2 linked regions of the Nothobranchius furzeri genome follow. The protein of the gene in region 2 purifies or fractionates together with the protein of the main gene of each other region. This does not show direct contact. Links are inferred from orthologs where the notes say so. Each region holds a gene or a part of one and is shown on either strand. Other genes may lie near its edges. The genes, in order: epn1a and phgdh.

Region 1 (3,818 bases), on a different chromosome or scaffold from region 2:
TCAAAACAAGTCAGTTTGTAGCTTTTTATCGCTTTTATTTAGGTGATTTGACAGTAAAATGGTTTTAGCTTGCTGCGTGGTCGGCTGCACTAACAGACAAGGATGTAAACTCAACTCCTTTTGTTTTTTTAATAACTTTGATGGAGACTGAGGACGGAGATGAACTGCAGCGATCAAGCAGCCCTCAGATTTGCAGCGAACATGTTTTTACCGGGTAAGATTAACGTTAATTTATTTCACGAGGAAGACAGGGACAGGGATGAATGTGATGTGTTTATACTGGTTATTGATAAACCTGATGGATGGGTATTTCACCACGGAGGATGCGCTCCGTCCACTGTCGTGTACAGCGAGACAATTATTAACAATATTAAAGCTCCGATGTATGATTACGTGGGTTAAAATTACGTTATTTATTCATATGAGCGTTGGCGTTCAGAGATCTTCTCATTCCGGTGTGAGAGCAGCAGCTGAACCCGGTAACACCACCAGCAACAGAAGCTGGTAGGGATCCGGACTTTTTAAAAATCAGCTTCGGTGTAAAGTGAAACGCTGTTTACAACATAAAGTTATAAATCCAGAGGGGTGAATTTAGGCAAAGTCAGCGGTGAACAGCTGCAGAGAGAACGTAAGCTAACGTTGGTAAGCTAGTTAGCATACCGCTAGATGCACTACTTCTTCTGATAACTGAACTGGGCAAGAACTAGTGGAAGGAATGCTGGAGGAGTTTTGTTTTTGTTTTGATCGCAAAAACAATTTCAGGCTCTTCTTTTCCCTTTGTTTAGTACTCGTGTCGCTCACTGTTTACATGCTTTTGCCGTCCAGCATGGTGGACCCACGTGATTAGGTGACGTCGGTGCAAAGGGTCAAAAGGTTTGATTTTTTTATTTTATACAAACTTTATGAGAACTCCTGTTATTCTGTTATGTGCACAGTTGCTGTGTAAAACCTTTTGGCAGTGAATGGGACGGACTACAAACACACATCTGACATATGTAGCAGATGAAGCTAAAGCCATGAGAGTGAGAAATCATCCACACACTGACTGATGTTTCACACACCTCTTCTGGTTTGGGTTTCTCCCTCTTGCTCTCTTCAATGGCCATCTGCAGTCTCAGATCATCGCCTCTGCGAAGCCGCTCCTCCTGCCAGTCACACACACACACACACGCACGCACACACACACACACACACACACACACACACACACACACACACACACACACACACACACACACACACACACACACACACACACACACACACACACACACACACACACACACACACACACACACACACACACACTTACTGGACAACTAATCTCTGAACCTGTGGAAACTGATACTTCATTCATGATTAACACTAATCAACCAATTAATCCAATAGTCATGCATGTTAGAAGGCCCGAGGAAGCTTTCTTACTTTAATGAAGTTTTACTCGGGAAACAAGTCAAATGGAAAACAAAAATAAATGTAACTTTAGACGGTTTAGATGAAGAAACTGCTGATTCTGCTCCATTTCTGTCATGATAAATGATAGCGCCTCTCAGAGGAAGGACTCCAAAGTGCTTTACACTACAGTGTATCATTCGTCCATTCACACACACATTCACACACTGGTGGGGATGAGCTACAATGTAGCTACAGCTGCCCTGGGGCGCACTGACAGAGGCGAGGCTGCCGAGCACAGGCGCCACCGGTCCCTCCGACCACCACCAGCAGGCAAGTTGGGTTAAGTGTCTTGCCCAAGGACACAACAGCAGAATTCTCTGTCCGGAGCCGGGATCGAACCAGCAACCTTCCGATTACTGGACAACCCGCTCAACCTGTTGAGCTACTGCTGCCTACTACAGCCAAACCAATGGATGAAAGCAGATAAACATTCTATCAGTTAACCAGCTCTACTCTATTATTAAGAATCTTTTAGATGCATTTAAACAAACCACCTTTTATACAACTATTACAGAAATGATTGACTATCAATCAGTAAATTAACCAACATCAATACCATCCTCTTGGAAACACCCACTTTGATTCACAGACTTAAAGGGACTTTACTGACTTTTGAATTTTTATGCTCGCGATTGCCCCCTCAGGCCAAAAGCGTAATGGCAGCTTCAATAGTAGGCTCGTGCACGAGGCGCGCATGCTGTACGTGCGCACTCCTTAACGAAAATAACAGCTGAGACAGTTCCGTGTGTGTGTGTGTGTGTGTGTGTGTGTGTGTGTGTAGCCATTAATGTAAAAAAGAAACTAAATGAATTAAGTTCACACCCAGAATTGAACCCAGGTCTTCTGCATGAGAGTCAGACATCTTACAAGGTGAGCTACACTCTAGTAACATTCACAGTATCTGTAACATTTATATCCTTGATGACAGCTGAAACAACATCAAACCAAAGAACGGTTCGGAGTGAAAATGGCTATTTTGTTGATATTTTGCAGGAAATATCTAGAAGAAAGTTCTACAGAAAGTAGCTAAGGGTCCTCAGAAATGTAGCTAGCTTTGTCACTAGGCATTAGGAACAGCGACAAAGTGGCACTGCCTCTCTCTCTGCTGCTAAAGCTACAGATAGCAAATGCTACGGGCGATGCCTGAGCGTGAACGCGCATGAAGCAGCCTGCTCGACCCGAGCATCTCTCTTTTTCTGTGATTTTACAGAAAAACAAGCAATCACAGTAAAAATGCCAGGGCTCATTCTACAGGACCAGGGCATTGCAGGAGAATGTATGAAGAAGACATTTATTATTTCTATACACGTTTTGGCTGTCAAACTTCCATAATGTCCCTTTAACTCAGGTAGTTCAGTCAGCTGACCAACGTACTACTTGAACCCCAAGTTTTGCACCAAGTAAACAAATCAATATAAAGTTATTACAGCAAGAAAAGGTGCAGCAGGTAAGAAAGTTTTTCAGATCAGTGCTGCAGTTGAATGCATGCTACAAGAAACGGAGGGGGAAAAAATCAATACTTACAACACATCCATTCATGAATATGTCATGTATTGGCAAATATCATGCAAATTAATTAATTACGTTTGATTACTGTTCAATCCTTTCAGGGTTTGGCACGTTTTTAGGATTATGAAGGGATGTGACGCGGAACAGCAAAGTCATTTATCGCAGAATAACTGCAGTCTTGTGCAAAAAAGAAAAAAACACATCCAAGAAAATCCCAAAAGACAAAAGCAAGCATAAAGTTTGTTGATTAATCAATATTTGGTATGCACTTGAGTAATTCCAAGTGACAGGAAAATAGATAGTTGATGACGGGCTCTCCACTCAGCAGAACACACTCTCTGCCCCTGACCTTTTGGTGAATCTCTTTGCTGAGTGTGATTGCATAGCGAAGCTCTGCATCCTCCAGAGGGTCCGCGCTATTCTGGGGGAGGTCAGTGGTTAAATGGTGAGAGCCAAGCTAGGTGTTCTGCAGCAGCAGATAATACGATTACACTGTTGCTGCATTGCACTGAAACAGCAAATGTTGCTTAAAAAAAAAAAAAAAGAGCGTGTAAGCTAGCGCTGCAGGCTAATAAAGAACTCTGTGATACCTGTTCTGCCTCTTCTTTGCTCATGGCCAAAGCCAGCTGAAGCTGAAGGTCTTCCTCCCCTGAGCTCTGAGGCCACGCCTGCTCAGGATCTGCCCCTAAAGAATGAGAGCCCATGGACAGGCTGCCACCAAGGCTGGGGGCTGATGGGGCTGAGGATGCTGCAGTGGACACACATATGAGAAATATGGCTTGTATCCAACCACTGGTTTATTGGAGTTTAATGTAGATGACTTGCCACTAGTGGTTTGTGCCATTTTTTCTTTG
Region 2 (3,918 bases):
TCATTGCAAGCAAGCAGGTAAGACCTTATCTACGGATGGCCATTAGGGTCAAAAATCCCTGGGAGTGCATTCTCCAGCAAAGCAACAAGCACATCAGACTCTTTTCCATCACTGGCAATGAGTGAAAAGGTAAATGTGTAAAACAACGTTTATAAATGGTGAAAGTTTTGTAAGTTTGTTACAAATCAGCAAATGCATTTTGTCCTCACGGGCTCCTGTAGAAGGAAACATGGCATCATGACTCACATGCCTTTTAGACCTAATTTTAATAGTTATATGTTACAAAACAACATTTCGATGGATATTTCCAAAGATTATTAGTAAAAATCACACATTGTCTCTGTTTTTAATTAACAAGTGTAAAAATGTTATACGATGCTCTGAACCAGCTTCACAGTCAAGCCTTTTATGCTAAATTAAATGTCTTTTAGGGTCACAGCATCTTTTTTTTTTCACATTTTTTCTCCAATGACACAACCGCCAAACTCAACAGCACACAACAAACACTTTATTTGTATTTTACTTCCAGCTTGTCGAACAACTAAACACCAGAATGTTACAAAAATACAAGTTTTAAACTTTTGCAACTGCTAAAAGAAGATGTTAACCATAAAAACAAATCCAAAACAAGGCATTCATCCTAAGAGCTTTAAAGATTTTTCAAATACTAAATGTTATTCTGGGACTATGGTTCCCAACATCCTAAACACAAAGCTGAGCTGCATCTTTAACCAAAGGCTCCAAGGCACTGAGATCTTGCAGGGGAGAGGACACCCCCACACAATACCACACATCCCCGGTGTGGTCCACAGGAGCGCTGAAAGACTCGATCTGCACTCCCTCTGAGGCCAACACTCCTAAAAAAAAACAATTGGAAAGGGAGTAGAGGCGTGAATTTAAGGGGGAAGAGTCCAGAAACATTGTAATTTAGAACTCCTAAATCAGCACCTTTCATCTAAACTAAGAACTGTCATGGGTAAAAGCATCAGAGTGACAGAAGATGTGATTTAAATCACACAATTCCCCTTCAAAATAAAACTTTTAGTAAATCTTTAAATTAGGGTTGCATTGCATCGACAATCCAGCAGAAATATCCTGAAAATCCTATAAGTAGTGTGCCAGGATGTACTTTAATAGCTATAGTTATTTTTGCACATAGATAACAAAAATAGCTAAACTAATAGCTATTTACACAAAGGTTGGAAAAACTGAATTTTTGAGACTGGGTAAGATTATACTAACTCCTTCCGGTCTTGCCTCTACTCAAACTAGCTGTTAGCTCATCAATCTGCTGTGGCCCCCAGACTGGAACTCTCTCCCTCTGAGCCTGAGATCAGTGGACTCACTCAGTGGACATTTTTTAATCACAATTGTCTATTTTTTGCTCATTTTAAATAATTTTTTAACCATTTTCTAAATTCTTTTTTATATTTTTACATTTTCTGTTTTTGTGAAGCGCCTCGTGACTTTTATCTTGAGAGGCGCTGTAGAAAAGATATTTTCTTCTTCTTCTTCAATCTGATTAGATTTAAACTATTCCTCTAAACTGAGTTTGTTCAATCTAAAGCAGGTAAGGTATTCTTTGTTCACAACCTTTAAACAGAGCCACAATTAGAATTATATCCACATTAAGCTAAAGTTTGCAAAAAAGATCATCTAAGAAGCAATATGTTTCATTAGCATTGATAATTTCAGGGTCAATGTACGGGTGGAAATCCCTGATGGTCACCACGGTGACAATGATTTATGAGGAAATGGTTCATCAATGAGTGCATTTTTATTTATGTCTTCCATTTCAAACTGGACTTTACATCTAGCACCCTCACACAGAAGGACACATAAATAAAACAATTGTTTTAATTAAACAGTGTTGATTTTGATGCAGTCATGTGTTTCCTCACCAGCCACCGAGGACAGCAGCTGAGGACTGGCAGAGGCCTGGAAGAACAGCAGATTTCCAGCCAGAGTGACGGGTTGTCTGAACACGCTGTCGCTCAGCCCCAGCAGGACAGGAACGCCTCCTAGAACTGCTCCGATGCCCTTTAAGCTGCAGCCATCGGCTTCGATCACCACCTCACACACACCTGCTGCTACCCCGCCAGACTCACAGTGGGTTTGATTCACCTGAAGACATAGTTCAGTCATTAGTTCTTGGATGGATAACAGACTACTGTCATGTGGTATTTGTTATTACCGTGATTCCGGTCTCCTTGGTGAGGCTCAGTACGTTGATGAGATTCGGGCAACATCCTGATTCCCGACTCATAAGTCCGACGAGTACCGCTGAGGTCATGAACCCGGTGCAGGACTTCATGCAGTCCCCTAGTTTGCGGAAAAAATTGAAGCAAGGGAAATAATTAGGACAAGAACTGGTCATATTGTGATTGCACCACTAGAGGGAGAACAAGAAACAGATAAATTACCTTGAGTGGTGATTTGAACACGACTGAGTGGTTTCTTGGATGCACTGCAGGACCGAAGCACCGCTCCAATGGCTTCTCCGAGTTTGATGAGCTGCTGAGACTCCTGGGAGAACGTGCTGGCTAAAACCTGGGCGTTCACCTGTACGAGGAGGACACAGAGGCAAAGTGTGGTTTGGTGATGCTTCACCATTTTGTCACACCTCCAAAGATTTTGGAAAGTTCCACTAGCATGTCCATTGAAACAAATGTTTATCTGACTGATTTCTCCTCTCCAAAGAGGGGAAAAAGGGAAATTTGAAGGACATTCGAATGAAAATAGCAACATCCTCCAGGCAGTGCGTAGTAAACAAGTGTGCAAATAACTGCAGAAATGAGACAGTGAGCATTGTCATCGACCTGTGCCACCGCATTGTATGTCTGTGATTTCTTAAATTTGGATGCCAGTCGCTTAAAATGATATTATATCATGTTCAAATATGCACACCAGCACTGTTATCATTCAACAACATTTTTCAGCAGAAATGTTTTTCCACCTTCTTCTCAAAATTCCCATGCAGCAATGGATTGTGGGTAATACCCTTCGCCAAAGTCTACGTCCATGCAGGCCTCAGCAAAGTGAGCATCAAGGGAGCAAAGGAGTGGGGCCGAGGTCTACACTAAAGAATCAGGACACCCTATGCAGTGGCACCACTTCAGCTGAATATGTGATGCTCCTGAGCCGAGGTGAGTGACATCACCCCCATCTCACTCTATCTGACTGATTTCCCACAGGTGACAGCGGAGGGGGCCGCAGCTGCAGAACATCTCCAATCAGGGACGCGGGTATAAAAGGAGGATGGTGACTCCTCATTACGCCGGATGATTGCCCCTGTATAGGTAGTCCCAGCCACTCGCTCTTGTTTTGTGAACTCGTCACTCGAATATAGGATATTTAGGATTATTGAACTTGGACCGCTCTGATTACTCTTTGGATTACCCTGAAATCTGGATGTTGTTTGTTCTCTCCAGAATCCCATTCAACCTGCCTCAACTTGCTGTTTTACTGACTGGACATTCACACCACGTCCCATCCTCCTCCGCTATGCCTGGTTGGATCCCTTCCGCTGTCTAACCTGTTTCCTGATCACCCCTGGACTGACTTGAGCTCACCTCGGCTTCCTCACCTCGATCTCCCCGAACGTTTATGGACTCGAGCTACTGCTCACCCTCTCCACAGGACTTCCCTGTGCACCTTTTTTTCCAGTTAATAAATAAAGACTTTAATTTCATCCTACCTGCTCGTCGAGTCAGATTACTGCATGTCTTGGGTTAAACACATACCACGAGACATGACAGAATATAAGTTCCTGGTACATTAAACATACGCATAAAAACTGGTTTCACTTCATCTTTAGGGCTCTGCAGGGTTTAAATCCACTTCTCTGTTTTCTACAAAGTTCCCAAAATAGAATCCCCCAAACATGTAAGAACAAAGCTGGTAATTAAAAAAAAAAAA

Evidence for each region.
Region 1: the proteins of phgdh (region 2) and epn1a purify together in Homo sapiens (affinity purification with mass spectrometry; 3 studies listed by BioGRID and IntAct, with this or other methods). This does not show direct contact. The link is inferred for Nothobranchius furzeri from reciprocal best matches to the Homo sapiens genes PHGDH and EPN1.

The regions. Positions count from the first base shown.
Region 1 is NC_091745.1:76,110,075-76,113,892, reverse strand, and holds part of epn1a (epsin-1), read right to left. Parts: coding exon 3,790-3,818; intron 3,713-3,789; coding exon 3,555-3,712; intron 3,386-3,554; coding exon 3,314-3,385; intron 1,146-3,313; coding exon 1,062-1,145; intron 1-1,061. UniProt on the Homo sapiens protein: Binds to membranes enriched in phosphatidylinositol 4,5-bisphosphate (PtdIns(4,5)P2). Modifies membrane curvature and facilitates the formation of clathrin-coated invaginations. Regulates receptor-mediated endocytosis.
Region 2 is NC_091754.1:20,299,105-20,303,022, reverse strand, and holds the end of phgdh (D-3-phosphoglycerate dehydrogenase), read right to left. Parts: intron 2,563-3,918; coding exon 2,424-2,562; intron 2,323-2,423; coding exon 2,195-2,322; intron 2,125-2,194; coding exon 1,902-2,124; intron 858-1,901; coding exon 703-857; 3' UTR 487-702; downstream 1-486. UniProt on the Homo sapiens protein: Catalyzes the reversible oxidation of 3-phospho-D-glycerate to 3-phosphonooxypyruvate, the first step of the phosphorylated L-serine biosynthesis pathway.